2 linked regions of the Styela clava genome follow. The protein of the gene in region 1 purifies or fractionates together with the protein of each later gene. This does not show direct contact. Links are inferred from orthologs where the notes say so. Each region holds a gene or a part of one and is shown on either strand. Other genes may lie near its edges.

Evidence for each region.
Region 2: the proteins of ubiquitin conjugation factor E4 B-like (region 1) and ubiquitin-like protein 7 purify together in Homo sapiens (affinity purification with mass spectrometry; 3 studies listed by BioGRID and IntAct, counting the BioPlex papers as one, with this or other methods). This does not show direct contact. The link is inferred for Styela clava from reciprocal best matches to the Homo sapiens genes UBE4B and UBL7.

What each region holds. Positions count from the first base shown.
Region 1 is NC_135256.1:17,029,224-17,038,174, reverse strand, and holds the start of ubiquitin conjugation factor E4 B-like, read left to right. Parts: upstream 1-5,477; 5' UTR 5,478-7,006; coding exon 7,007-7,036; intron 7,037-7,363; coding exon 7,364-7,445; intron 7,446-7,998; coding exon 7,999-8,075; intron 8,076-8,526; coding exon 8,527-8,639; intron 8,640-8,951. Other genes in the region: integrator complex subunit 6-B-like, read left to right, coding at 1-66, 374-490, 597-758, 1,059-1,251, 1,649-1,794, 1,986-2,598, 2,983-3,119, 3,512-3,568. UniProt on the Homo sapiens protein: Ubiquitin-protein ligase that probably functions as an E3 ligase in conjunction with specific E1 and E2 ligases. May also function as an E4 ligase mediating the assembly of polyubiquitin chains on substrates ubiquitinated by another E3 ubiquitin ligase.
Region 2 is NC_135250.1:12,765,307-12,772,221, reverse strand, and holds ubiquitin-like protein 7, read right to left. Parts: upstream 2,019-6,915; 5' UTR 2,016-2,018; coding exon 915-2,015; 3' UTR 782-914; downstream 1-781. Other genes in the region: developmentally-regulated GTP-binding protein 2-like, read right to left, coding at 3,089-4,183.

The sequences.
Region 1 (8,951 bases):
ATGATTCCGAGCTTGAGAGTGGAACTTGAAGATTACCTAAAAATGTTACCAAGTTATTATATTGGTGTAAGTAAATTATATTCGAATTAGAAATTCTTGTGTGGTAGGTGTTTAAGGTTGTTGTATGTAATGTCAATTTCCTCCGTGTGTGGTAAAAATAACAATCATAGCAGATGTTTTTTTTTCAAGAGAAAAACGTGTAAAACTCATAAAGAGTGATTCTGAAATTTCTCGTGAAAATTAATATGATATAATAAATGGGTAGTACCAAGATGTTGTATATTCAAGTACTTGATATACACTTGTAAATAAGTTTATTTTTCATACTTTCAGCTTAAGTATGTCATTCACAGTTTTGAATATTTATCTTTAGGCTGTAAGAAAAGCAATGCGGCAACTTGGAGTTCCAAATCTTGTTCCAGATTCTCTTGAAGTTGGTCTTAGTCATTCTGTACTTTCATATTTCAAAAAATTGAAGCAACAGGCCAAGGTAAAAACTAAATTTTATTAGTTATTTCAAGCTATTCTATCAAAATGATATTATTTAACAATAAATGTTCATTTTATTACTTTATACCATTGTGTCTTGTTTACAGGCAAGTGCTGATAGAATAATGAATTCAGTGGGACACATACCTCCTTACGTCAACAAAGGAATCAGCATTTCTGGTCGATACAACACACTTTCTGTGACACAACTTCCCAATTTTAATCAAATTCTCGCTTCTGTAACTGAAAACGCATCCTTGATGCCAAAGGTAATGGTTTGCATTGATATTTTGATACCATTCAAGTCTCAGAGACAGATAAGTGATCCTTATCACGCGATGGAGTCAAAATGGAAAGACTCATTTAATCCAATAGCTTTTTTTACTCAATTATTGTACAGTAGGATCTGCATACTATCCACTGTATGTCTTCAAAATGCAAGATGTAGTTGCCGATTAAATATAGTTTTTTACAATAGAATAAGCTAGCATTAAATACAACATGCATTTGGTTATGTGATACATATACATAGAAGTCTTGTTACATGCCCCCCTGCTCTTTTACTACAGGTTGACTTGAATGAATTTCCCAATTTTCACATCGGGGTAAATTCGGGGGATGGTATGAAAGGAAGGCGGATGTATCATAATGCTTTTGATGTTCCAAGATCTCAACTTTTGAATCAAGTTCGGAAAATGAAAGTGAATTTCCACAGAGTTTTATCATCAAATCAGTTAACAAGAATAAGACTTCAAGACAAAGGTACCTTTTTAATAAAACCCCTTAGATCGGGTTTTACTAGTAGATATCATGGAATGCAGAGATTGGTTAACTACCCATCATTCATTTCATATTTTTTTTATATGATATCAAGAGTTGATTTTAAATCCTGTGAGGGGGAAATGTGAGAGAGGACAGCTGGACTCATTAGTGCCGTAGGGTGGTTAACATAGCCACTGATCGGTTGCGAATTTCTCCCCCATCATGCAGATGAAAAATACCTGGTCAACTATTCCCATTTCCCACTTGCTAACTGGTAACCAGACGAGAGACTATGGTTCAACATATGCTTAGGCCATTTGATCTATTTCCTCTAAAATTAAATAAATACCCTATCTGGTATTATACGGTTTGCTGAAACTTTTACATCTTGCTTTAGCTGAATTGCACAATCAACCAATTTCAACAATGGGAAACTACCAAGAATATTTGAAGAAATTTCCCCAACCACTTAGGGAACTTGATCCAGACACACCTAAACGACTTCACACATTTGGAAATCCATTCAAACTGGCAAAAGAAAAGGTAAATGTAACGTTTTGGCGGTTTTCTAGAAGAATTTCTAACAGGTTTGAGTAATGGTCCTTGGTATTACTAGTTTATCTTCAATGTACAGCATAAAATTAATTTAATGACCTGGGAAGTCTGGGCTGGTATAAAAGTTTTGTCATTTATAATCTGAATATTGGTAGTTAATTGGATTTTCCATCCTGTAGGGCATGATGATTGATGAAACAGAAGATTATGATGCACCATCATCTGGTAATAAATCAGGTAGATCAGGCGATGCCGGAAAAAGAAACAGGAGAAAGCGATCAGCTAGTCCAATGCGACCCGGTACACCACCTGTGTTTAAGAAGAGTCATTTATCCACACCTGGTTTCGTCAACAATCAAACCAACCCTGCTGCTGTGGTTACCAACCATCAGACTACTGATAATCATAATTCTTTACCTCATGCTTTTTTAAATGGAGAAACTCGTCCTCCCAATGGTGCTTTAGAACTGACTGAACCATCTGCAATTAAAACGACTCCTTCTGATATTGCAGCCAAGCTGCAAGCATTGAAATCTAATTTAAAGCATAATATGTCGGAAATGATAGAACTGGAGCCAAAATTGAAGCATTCAGACTTACTCAATGGTAAAGGATCTGATAATATGTCACTAAGTGATTCAATGGGTTTAACAAATGACAGTGTATGGAAAACTATGCATAGAAAACACAAACAGAAAAAACCCAAATCTAATAAAGCAACTGCAGAAATTGAAAACGCAAACTCTAGCATCAAGGATACAGTAATTAAGTTTGTCAGAAAACCAGGAAAAAGTAAGTACACATAAAATAAGAACTTCCACTGTTAATTGGACTGATTACTGTAACTGATGCTAAGCTTATCTTTTATGGGTATGGTATTTTCTATCAAGGCTATCACTGGACTTCATCATTACTGTAACTGAAGATATGCTTATGGGATTTTCTATCAAGGCTATCACTTGAGAGATTAAATGAGTTTTATGCAAATAGTTGAAATGTAACTTCCTCGAGTGAATCCCATCACTAAATCATTGATTTGATTTTAGTAATTCCGTTATGATGACATTAGTACAGCCACCTTCCTCATTTGATGGATTAAATTCACTTCTTATTGCAGTTACCATTTCATCAGCATTTGCATATTTTGAATTGTCCAACATTTTTTTTTATCTGTAGATGACATCAATATTTTCAACGAGCTTCAAAAATTAAAAGGTCCTAAGTCAAGTTGGCATCCAGTGTTGTGTTCTGTGATCAAAGAAGCACATCGTTTTAAAAAAGATAACTTAATTCAGCACTTGAAAAAATTTGAAGTAGGTAGTAAAGGTTATAATATAAGATGAGAAATAATATTATTTTTATTAATCAAGATTAAAACAAAATATACAATGCAATGTGTTAATGATGACTTTGTTATGAAATAAGGTCATGATGCTAATGACTGGCATATAATGTTATTTCACCTTGCATGTCTATATGTATAATGTATATGGTAATGTATGCCCATTGTAATGCAATCTAAATGGCGGTATATAGAGCCTGTATTCACATCAGTTTGGAAGTTGCCTCATACTAAATTTATTTTGAAAAGCAAACTAATGTGATTAATTTACTGTGTGATATCAAATTTTAATATTATTTGCCCACAACATTGCTATCTGGTGCCATTAATTTTTTCTCAAAGCTGAATATTATTGTTGCACAGGAAACATTAGAGAAACATTTGGCTTCATCACCGCAACCGCACAAAGTTGATAGATGACAGAATAAAAATTATGCTGTGGAGCACAATAAAGACAAAGGATGATGGTGATCATTTCGTGTGATATTGGCGGATGCTGAAGTGACAGAATTGCTGACTTTATGAAGTATCAGTGTTTGCTGGAAGGTTGAGGCGCTGAGAAATAAAAGTAAACACCTGTTGAATTGACCTGTTCTGTGGTGCTTTCATCTCAGTTTAAAATTCTTCTAATGTTCAGTTTCAATAAGATGAAAACATTTTATATTGTTCCAGATCATAGGTGTTGTTGCAATTCTAACTATCCTCGGATAATAATGGATTATCCTTTATCCTCTTTAGATATACAATACTGATATTTCCTGATCTTCAGTTTGATCATATTTGGTCTTTCTTATATTAACACAATTTTTTCAATTTGTCTTTGTATTCTTCTGCAGGATTTTTGTTTCTAAGTGAATTTTTTTATATGTCCAATTTAAGTTTCCACACACCAAGCTGACTGTTGTTATCATGTGATATTGCTCTGTTTTGAGCTGTTTGTTCCAAAATGTGAGAAATGCACCAGTGGTCTATTTTTGCTTGAATTCGGGTAGGTATGGAGAGTGGTCTTGAAATTGAAAGCTGATATGGTTATTTTAAAGCTGGTGCAGATAGATTTATCATTGCATGTAGAACAGTTTTCACATCAGGTCCAAAGATAAAAAAATAATTAGAAATTGTATCTGTGAAGCGATGCGAAGGGTCGGCGACCTATCCAAGAAACTATGCACTAGAAGGAATCCATACACTGATAAATTGTTTGGGCAGAATATTGCCCTTTGAGCATGGAAATGGCTAGGAGACTTTGAAATACTGGGTGATAAATCATCTGGTTCAGCATCCACATTTTCCACTCTCACAGGATAACTCCGTCTGACCAATGACAACATATATTCAGAAATCTTGATATATACAGTATATATTGGGAATATATATTCTCATTGGGCTGACTTTGATAGAAGTGAAAAGAGATTATATTGGGATAAGTTTCAACCATCGTTATTTCTTCGTTCAAATAATGATTCTTATCCTTGAGGTAATATCATACTTAACCCGTAAATTAGAGCAACAACGAGTTGATAGAGATTCATTATATTCATTTATCTGGCGGCCCCACGACTGAGGGAAATGTGTGTATGTGTCACTTCTGGCGGATTCGCCTGATGATGACTCAGCTGTTTGTCAGCATTTTCTTTCTTTCCAGTCGTTCGCCCATGTTGTTGTTGCTATGCATTTACAGAATTTTGCAATTGTCACTCTGCCACAGAATGTGTACAGCGCAGTCGATATGTTTAGTTGAGCTTGACAGACAGACAGAAGGAATGGTTCCACCAAGAGACCAAAGCTACGAGGTTAGGTAGACACATACAGGCATCTGGACACGTCTGCATGTTCAGATGTTGCAGTGTTCAGTGACTGTCTGAAAGTTGGCCCGGAAGGTCATTGTCTTAAGCTACGGTAAGTTAGGTCAGTAAGTACAATACGGTTGTAAGGTCTGAAGGTAGGTGTTATCTGGTTATAGCACAGTGCTGCAGTGATATAAGGAAATAATGAATATGGTATGGTAGGTAATGCAATGCCTGAATTCAGCAATAATTCATCTATCAGTCTATTTTGAAAATGTCTCACTTCATACTGTTATCCATGTTTGTTGGTAATTTAAACTAAACGGAGTTTCAATCAATCAATTTCATTTCGATCACTCTGAAAGAAACAAAACAACAACAAACTGACAAACAAAATGCAGAGGATGATGGGCATAACTTACAAAAAAAGTTTAAAACGTACAAGTACAGAAGTACATGCCCCTCCATCAAAAACAGTCAAAAGAACACTATAAAAGTCTATAACAGCTTCTCCTGTTCTCTGTCATGTTCGAAATGCGCTGCTCAAAGTCACCTGTCTAACAATTTTGAAAACAGTTGGTACAGTGGTAGCATGAAAGTCTAATTACTGAATTGAGGCCAGCTAAATGCTTGACCATATTAATAAACTTTATGCTGTCACCACTGTCAGACTGTAGACAATTTTTGCTTTGAACACAGCTTAAGTCTGTAAGATTTTTTTTGTTATCTCTTGACATCTTTGATAGACATATTCCTGTATTCATCTTTCATTTTCTCCAAAAATGATATCATTTTTTCCATTACAGTATCTCTTTATTACTATTGCTGTATTGTGACATAAATTTCTTCATAAGTACAAGACTCATGAGAGGCTACAAATTATTGTTTTATACAACGGTTGGTGGTATTGTGTATTACACTATGTACTGGAGCATTATGAAAGATTCCAGTCAAATAAAGATAAAGAAAAATATGAAGTATACAAATCCTGATGACAAAGGTACTCAAGAATTGAATCAAAAGTTTATGAAAGTTCTCAAAGATGCAGCAGCACTTGATGAAAATATTGTTTATCGAGATTTTAATAGAAAAAATAAATAAAAGGTTGTTTCTATTCACTAACTGAAGAAAGAAGTTATTGTTGTTTTCATCCAGGAAAAGTTTTTTTTTCCAATGGGAAGCAAAAAGTAATCCATGTTACAGACTCATGGTAGGTTAGCGGTGGCACAACAGTACCGCATATATCAGGCCAATCATCAGGAAAACAATTCAGACCAGTGGTTCTCAAACGTTCATAATCGATGGTCCCCTTCCTGAGACTTTCAATAATTGTGGCTTCTTACTCTTTTATAAAAATACATGCTTTTTCTTTAGGTTATGTGTCATATTTAATAATAAAAAAGCCAACGAAATAAAAATTCATCATCATTCAGTCATTACAGTCAAATTATGTTAAATTAATGTAGTCATGCCGCAGTCGGGGGTCCAGTTGTACAAAACTGATAGCAATCCATGGTCATTGGTTTGGTGTGTGATAAAGTGAGGTATGGAACAAAGGTAACAAATGTGTCAATAAGTTCAAATTTTGCCCATAAGGCCAAAAGCAAATGTCTAAACCTGGTTGTTGGATTTTGAGAGTGTTATGTATGACTTTTCTTTTGGAATAAGGCATCCATCCAATGTTTTTTGTCGGTCATCGTGGACTAGACTCCATTACGACTCACTTACAGTAGAAAAGAATCTGATGATTTTTGTCATACTGATAAAATATGATAAGTTTTGTCACTCCTATTATTAGTGTTCCAGATCAAAGATTCAAAATACCGGTATTGAATATAGTTCAACATCACACATCTGGGTTGTCTTTTGTCTTATAACGACTCCATGTCTGAGATGTACTTATGCTTATTGTACTAAACTTATATTTACTTGTGCTTTTGATGGTTTATTAATTAACCTAATTTGTGTTCAACATTATTATGTTTTTAGATAAATTAAGAATAATTATTCTAGACAAAATTAATTTTTGTATGATTCACTTGGGTCGGCTGTTACACAAATACCTACCACTGAAATGAGTGAAAACACAATCACTCAAGATGAGGTAAGAATTGAATAAAATTACGGTATGCTTTTACCGTACATGGTAAACAGTTTGGTTATATTTTTTTTGTAATAAAATAAAAATGTCCTATAGGATATATTTCACAACGAAAGGACTTGGGCCATGGTATAGTTGTACAAGTTGATAACTGGGAGTATTTCTTCATGTGACATGGAATATTAAGATAAGAATTATAGACCTATTGCTATAATGATTAAATCATATTTCTGGGCATCATTTACATATAATTTTAATATTGGATTTCTTTACTTGTTGAGTAAGCGATTTTCAGTTTGTTTGCATTTTTTACCGACATTTTTGATGCAGATGCGAAGACGCCGGCTTGCACGCTTAGGCGGAGATACTAGCTCCCCACAGTCAACTCCAGTAGATAAAGAAAGCAAAAAAGGTTCATAAATATTTTCTAATTTGCATATTGTTATACAACGAAATCTGACTCCCAAAAAGTGTACAGAAGTACCTTTACATTCATGCATATATCAGAGTTGTGAGCATATACATTGCAATATGGTTGTGCTAACATGTACATGCGTTTGAGCAAGATTGGAAGCATAAAAAATGGTTATTTGTGAATCATAATTTTAAAATATATTTGAAAAGTGTTTCTTTTCTTTCATTCTCTCAAAATTCCTGGTTTGTTTCTACCGCTTTCTTTCCAAACAACACACTTTTTATTTCTGCTCAGCAGTTTACCGAGATAAAAATCACTGGAATTGAGCATGATCTTTCTGTATGCATAAGTTTTTTGAAGTGTCTAATCGAGTTTATATCTATATATAACCCACCGTTTTCCTTTCATCTAATCCTTGCGAAGACTGTCTTTTTATGTCTCAAGCAAAGTAATCAATACCATACCAATACATGCTTATTGGCTGGAGCCGCTTCATTGATTTGTCACTGATCATATCTAAATTCATGCTTTATTGAACATTATTTGACAGGAAACTCTAAATCTCTAGATACTTCACCAGAATTTTCAAGTCCAAGATATAAAGTAGCGAGATCTTCAGCAACAAGTGTGAGTTTTTATTCAAGTCATTGTTGAATAAGTATCAGTATTCAACTGAAATTGAAAAACTTTGAATTTAAATTTTTTATGTTTTATGAGGTTGATATCTTGAAGTTGTATGTTAGGTTTAGGAAAGTGATTCCATATTGAAGCCATTATCACGATTTTGAGCAACAAATACGACATGCATTTGGCTTGGAAAGTAAGATGAATGGATGGATGGTTTTATTCAGAGACAATTTCCCATTGACAAATTGTTTTTATGGCGATATGACCTGGCTATCACTTTGGCTATAGATGGCTAATTTCTGCAATAAAATTTTGATATGCACTATAAATTGAATCAAGATTTCACTGAATATGGCAAACAAAAGATTTATTATTTGATATTCCAAAGCATGTATTTTGAATAAAATAAAATCTGATGTTTCTGATACTGACAATAATTTTATTTTTGCAGTCATTGGCAAGTGATAGCAGTAGCATACCACATTCTCAAGCAGAAGATGATGATATTTTGTCTCCAAATCCAAAGCGCCCTCTGGAAGTTTTAACTGGTGCTATAAGTTCTAGGTAATATATACAAATGAATTTTTTGCTAACAGTTATGCTGTCAAACTCAGACAATTATATTCAGACATTAGTCTATATAAAAGGGATCATTTTAGATAGTGTTTGACACACATAACGGAGCAAATATATTTTCACATATACGACTAGACACATTTCTGCTGTTAATTTTTTAATATGCAACTTACTTGCTATGATGGTACTAATAACGTAGGGGCCTACTATAATGTACTATGTGTACAATTGTCATGATCAGTCATCTGTGAAAATACTAGTTGCCAGAAATACAATAAAAATACAGTTACACTGCATTCC
Region 2 (6,915 bases), on another chromosome or scaffold:
AGTTCTAAAGTGCTGTTTTCCGTAGTATGGTTTACATTTATACGGATGAAAAATGGTGGCATAGTCAAAGCTTGAAAGAGTAACGCATGCTTTTTTTCGAATAAAGCAACAGGTGTCGCGGTTTTCTGAATTTCCTTCACCCTGAAATACCATTCCTACTTCTCAATTCATAAAGTGTATTTATGTATTGTGGAAAAATAAACTAATGATTGTACAACTCCCAAGGCGGTCCTCACCCACTTCGTGGTCTGAAAAGTGTATACACAACTGTTGCACCTGAGTACCTTCAGTTTAAAGGTATGTGTAGTAAGCTAACCTGATGGAGTGTCTGTGTCACTATATATAATATTGTTCAATCTGGAGCTAACAGGCTAATTTTTGCGCAGAGGTGCGGCCGATCACAGTTCACATTAAAGATTTAAACCAGGACCGACTTGGTGAATCTAGAATTCGATTTTTTCAGCCTTGGCTCCCTTCTTTATTGTAGTCGAAAACTTGGGCTGTGGATTCACTTCTTTAACTTCTAATACGAATTCCCACCAACTACTCCTTTGAAAAGGGATATTAGTTTACTAGCTGCACACAAAGTTAGGTTTTTTCCATTTCATTTAGAACTCCAAAGTATTTCTTCTTAATTTATTTTTCAGCACTGCTCTGTTGGAATAGGAGACTGCAGGTTCAGTTAATAAGCGCTATAATATAAGAGCAATCAATCATGCTTGTATGAGAATGATGGCCCTCACTTAATCTACAAAATTGAAAATAATATTAAATCTGCAAATTTACCAGAGCAATAAACTTTTATTTTTATAAGTGGCAAAGGAAGAAATAAGTTATCGGAAAATAGACTTCCTTAACAGCTAAGTCAAGGGTACATTGTGAAAAAGCTAAATTATCATTCAAGAATCGATATCTCAATTTCCACTAAATAATATATTGATTGCCGCTTCAACATTTCCTTGTGTTGCAGTTAATGCATGCCTACTGGCTTCATCATCAGTTATACCCATTGAATGAAGCTGTTCAAGTCCTGCTCGCATTACATCCTCACTTAACACAGAATCATTGCTTCTTGGAGCAGAACTTTCACTTTGTAGAGATTGAGAGACTTCTCGAAGACCAGTTGACATTAATGCTTCTTGCATCGCTTGGTTTAAAGCTTCTGGTGTGAGCTGCTGAGGTCTGGTTTCATTTCTTTCTTGAGGTGTAGTTGATGTATTACTGGTTGTGTTTGAGTTTGGTGTATTGAAAGCTGAATATGGAAAATTGTAGCCCTCACTTGGTGGTGTCGCTTGCGCAATAGCGGCAGATAATTGAGACAAAGTTATCATATTAGAAGCTTGGTTTGAAGATGAAGGATGACTTTCATTTGACTGACCCGCATCCACGTCCATAGAAACCGTACTGCTTGTGGAAGCTGCTGTATTGGAGTATTTACTGGAGGTCATCAATGTATTCCACATTGCCTCAAAAGCTATGGCCAAACAAGGGTGCTTTTCAACAATATTTTTCAAATATTTTGGATTAACTATAACTTTAAACAACTTTGCATTCTGCAGAATATCCATTGCTGCACGGTCCTCTCTGAGCCCTGATATGTTTGAAATAATTTTGTCAATAGTTTTTTTATCTTCAAAAAGTTTGGTAAGTGCTGATTTTTTATGCGATCGATTCTCATGTTGAATCATGGTAGCCAAACCATAAGAAGCATTTTGTACTTTAGCGTAATCTATCTTCGGAACATCCTGTTTTGTTGATGGTAATTTCTTTCTAATAGCATGGAGTCTATTACCTGACTGCAATCCCCACTCCTTCATCTCTTGGTCAGGATTACAGTCTAACCGTTTCAATCCAAAATACAACTCGTAATCATCCGAAGATAAACCAAATGTTGAATTGATTTTTTCTCTAAATTGTTTATAAATAGGTGATTGCACATCCAAAACTATCTGCTCAGATCTGTGGATATTTTCATTATCTATATAAGACACATGGAGCTTGAATGAGTTCTCCATGCTTTGTAATTCATCAGATAATCTAAATGGCAAAACAAAAATGACAGTTAACTGTAATAAAGTTGTTTTAATACAGAATTGATTTATTAGGAATAAGTTGAATTTCAAAAGAACAAGGTCGCCACTCGCCACACTTGTACAATACTGCTACGTAATAATATGGAATTAGTCAATTCTGATATATGGTAGAGGCATTCCATTTCCATATAAAAAAACTAATATATTTATTTGAACAACTTTCATTTTATCCAAGAAAGGTGTTTTTCATACATTGTGAAAATTTGTTTGATTGATTTGCATGGATGGTTGTATCCCAAATTAAACGGACATTGCATTCAATACATCAACCTTTTTCTGAGTGGGAAAATCGCCAGAAATGACCATGCCTTATGCTTACATAAATATAACTTACTATCATACAATTCTGTACAAGAAGATTTTTCACAGTAAAAATGCCCACATTTGTGAGGCCATAAACATTTGAACTGTTATACCCATATGTCCTACTTATTTGGGAAATATGTCAACATAAAAGCCTCGAACAGGGTGACCTAAAAAAACACAACCCAGGTCATTCAGGATATATTCTAGACTCTAAGAGTTAACATAATTTTTGTGCGGAGCGTCTTACATTGCTGAAACTTTCGGGTACAATAAATCACTTTATAAGAAAGTTATGGGTTCTGTTCTTTGGGGGTCACCCTGCACATACAAGAGTGGAGATAGTTCAATCGATCAAAAATTGAATTTCAAAATTACATTTAAACAGGCCTAATGATCATAAAAATTTTAATTTAGCAGCTTGTTACTGAAATTATAAAATTCTGAAAGATGTGACTATTCGATAACATAAAAGACAATCATATTCAAATACAAGTATCAAATATGTGTTTTTTATTTTGCGGAGGAACAATTTTGATTCTGCCATCACCAGGTATTCAAGCAGTATGATCAGTCAAATTAATTAAGGAAGGTTGCTTTATCACCAATCATTGTCTGCTGGCATAGGACGGGTCACACCGAACAAAAGTGAACTAGATCCTAGTTCACTACATATATTTTGTTCTACATATTCACTTTTTAACAATTTGTAAAACATCTTCGTGACATAATTGGTGAGTCAAGCCTACATGTTGACCATTGTATTTTGCGCTCCTTCCCCAGACTTGAGCATATTTAAAACCTGATACTAACGATCTATGCACAGCATGGCAAGCATGCTCCACAGTACAATTTGCACGTAAAATCAACCCATCACTAAAGTCTGGCTTTTTTGCAGGCTTTTTTGTATATACAGTCATAAGAGCCAAATACTCCCACATTTTTTCGAGTAGATAGTCTAAATTCAATTTCATGTTGCAACTGATGACAACACTATGTGGTTGTCGTGCGATCCTGTCAACCTCCTCAATTGAAATTTGATCAATTTTATTGTAAACATAAAGGCATGACATATATTTTCTATTCCCAACTACAACATCAATAAATTCGTCTGGTCCATAATCATCGCGAAAGAGAACTTCAGCATTAAAAATCTTGTATTCGTGAAGGATTAGTTGAACCATTTTCTCGTTTATTTTTGTCAACACGCATGTAGAGTTGAATGACAGTCCTCCACCTTTTTTAAGTTTGAAGTAAATATTTGGAACCTTTTTGTTGAGACGAATTCCCACGGCTTCTAACTCTAGGGTGAGGAGTTCTTTCTGTTTTTCACCCTTTGCAGCATCCAGCATCATAACAACAACATCTGCTGTTCTACCAACTGCAATGACTTGACGACCTCGACCTTTACCACCCGCTGCACCTTCGATAATTCCTGGTAAATCAAGAAGTTGAATATTCGCCCCATTATATTCAATTACTCCAGGGATGCAAGTCAAAGTTGTGAACTCATAAGATGCTTGCTCACTTTCCGTGTTGGTTAACGTAGACAATAGAGTTGATTTGCCGACAGAAGGAAATCCAATGAGAGCTACGCGGGCATCACCCGATTTCATGACATCAAAACCTTCCCCTTTTTGTCCAGATCCCTTTGGCCCTTCAAGAAGTTGAGCTCTATACTTTGCTAGTTTAGCTTTCAGCAGCCCAAGATGATATTCAGTGGCTTTGTTTTTTTGTGTCCTTTGAATTTCCTTCTCAACTTCCGATATCTTCTCTAAGATACCCATGGTTTATAAGAAACTTACGAGCGTTCTCTCCAATTTGAATTCCAGAAGCAAACTAGAGCTTGATAGTCTAATTATCTTTCAAATTCAGTAATTTACAGAATAATTTTTATAGGGTTTTTCCCAGTCCACATTCACTATTACATTAACTGCTGAATTGAAAAACAGTATTCAATAAAACTTGATAGCATTTACAAATTTAGCAAATAGATCGGTATGTATAGTTTTGTACCACATGCACTTCTAGTTGGCCTGGCTCAACAAAATCTGAGCCTCTAAAGCAGAGTGATGCGCTACATTGCCGTACCCTTTGTGAAGCTATCAGCAAAACACAAAATTGTGACTGACAGAATCGCAGAAAATACCCACGCGTAAAATTAAATGTTCCCAATGATTTTTAAAAGAAGGTGTATATTTTGATTAGTTTCACAATAGCAAATAAAGCAAAACAATCATTAACTACACTCCTCTTATTGTTAATATATAGTAAACAAGCTAAAGCGTCTGTTACAGTGCATAAAAATTTTTTATACTTTTTTGAGAGTTGTTTAAAAATGACTGAATTTTCGTCGTTTAAGACGGTCGTTTCATGAAAACCTCCAATAAAGGCAGCATTGCAACACCATTGGTAAAAAGTAGAAACCTCAAAGATTCGATTTCATTATGTCAGAACAGTCTCAGCACGTTTTGACTTGGCCATATATAATACTAAACATAGCGTATAATTTTCAATTTTATGCACAATGTATATACAACAAATTTAAAACTGATTTTGTGTTTCAACTAAATTTACTGGAGTTCATAAAAGAAGATATTTTCCTCTTTGTCACACAACAATAATGCACTTTAATAAACTTAGAATAAGTTGAGGAAAGTCTAAAATACCAAAAAAAAATTACGCCCTCTTGTGGATTCTTTAATAAATATCACAAAATTATCGTTTTTGAAAGGGCGATTTCTCAAAAACCGCCAATAAAGGCAGCACTACGACACATTCGGAGAAAAGCAGATATCCTATAGATTCGATTTTAATATGTCAGAACAGTAGCAGCACGTTTTAACTTGGCCATATATGATACCAAATATAGCATAAAATTTTCAATTTTATCAACTATGTAGATGTAACATATTTAAAAACGGTTTGGTATTTCAACCAAAGTTACTGGATAATTCATCAAATACTTTTCTCTCTTGGTCATACATCAAAACTGTACGTTCATTAAACTTGGAATAAGAGGCAAATCTTAAAATAACAAAAAATGATGGATATTTTCGGAATTTCGAAAAAATATCGTTTTTGAAAGGGCAATTTCTCAAAAACCGCTAATAAAGGCGGCACTACGACACATTCGGAGAAAAGCAGATACCTTATAGATTTGATTTCATTATGTCAGAACAGTAGCAGCACGTTTTGACTTGGCCATATATAATACCAAACATAGCGTGTATTCAAAATGTAATAAACAATGCAGACGTAACATATTTAAAAACCGTTTGGTATTTCAACTAATTTACTAGATAATTTATCAAACATCTTTTTCTTTTGGACATACATATATTCTGTACGTCCATTAAACTTGGAATGAGTTGCGGAAAGTATAAAATAATAAAAATCATTTTACGCGTGGATTCTTTTCATTATTCTAAAAAATATCGTTTTTATAAGGGCGATTTCTCAAAAACCGCCAATAAAGGCAGCACTACAACACATTCGGAGAAAAGCAGATACGTTATAGATTAGATTTCATTATGTCAGAACAATAGCAGCACGTTTAAACTTGGCCAAATATATTGCTAAACATAGCGTGAATTCAAAATTTCATAAACAATGCAGACGTAACATATTTAAAAAGTGCTTTGTATTTCAACTAAATTTGCTGGATTATTATCAAATATATTTTTCTCCTTGTCGCACATCAATATGTCTATTAAACTTAGAATAGGTTTCAGAAAGTATAAAATAATAAAAAACATTTTACGCACCCTCGTGAATTTGTTTTAAAATTTCGAAAATTATGGTTCATGGAGTGGCGATTTCTCGAAAACCGCCAATAAAGGCAACATCACACCCATTCGGAGAAAAGCACATACGTTATAGATTCGATTTTATCATGTCAGAACAGTAGCAGCACGTTTTGACTTGGTCCTATATAACACCAAACATAGCTTATATTCTTCAATTTTATAAACAACGTAAAAGTAACAATTTAAAAATGGTTTGAGTTTCAACCAAATTTGCTGGATAATTAATTAAATATCTTTTTTTTCTTTGTCGCACATTATTACTGTACGTCTAAACTTGGAATGGGTGGCGGAAAGAATAAAATACCAAAACTCGTTTAAGCCCTCTGGTGGATTTTTTTACTTTTAAAAAATTAATCGTGTTTGAAATAGCGATTTCTCGAAAAACCCCAATAAAGGCAGCACTACGACACATTCGGAGAAAAGCAGATACCTTGTGGATTACGCACTATAACTTTTTTTTAATTTTCCCAAACATACGCTTTTAGAGTGACGGTTTCTTGAAAACCGCCAATAAAGGCAGCATTACGACACTTTCGGATAATCGAAGATACATTAAAGATTCGATTCCACTAAACCACAACAGTAGAAGCACAATTTGATTTGGCCATATATAACATCAAACATAGAGTATATTCTTCAATTTTTGAATAATGCTAACGTTAAAAATTTATAAAGCTGTCATATTTTAAACGAAATTACTGAATACTTGT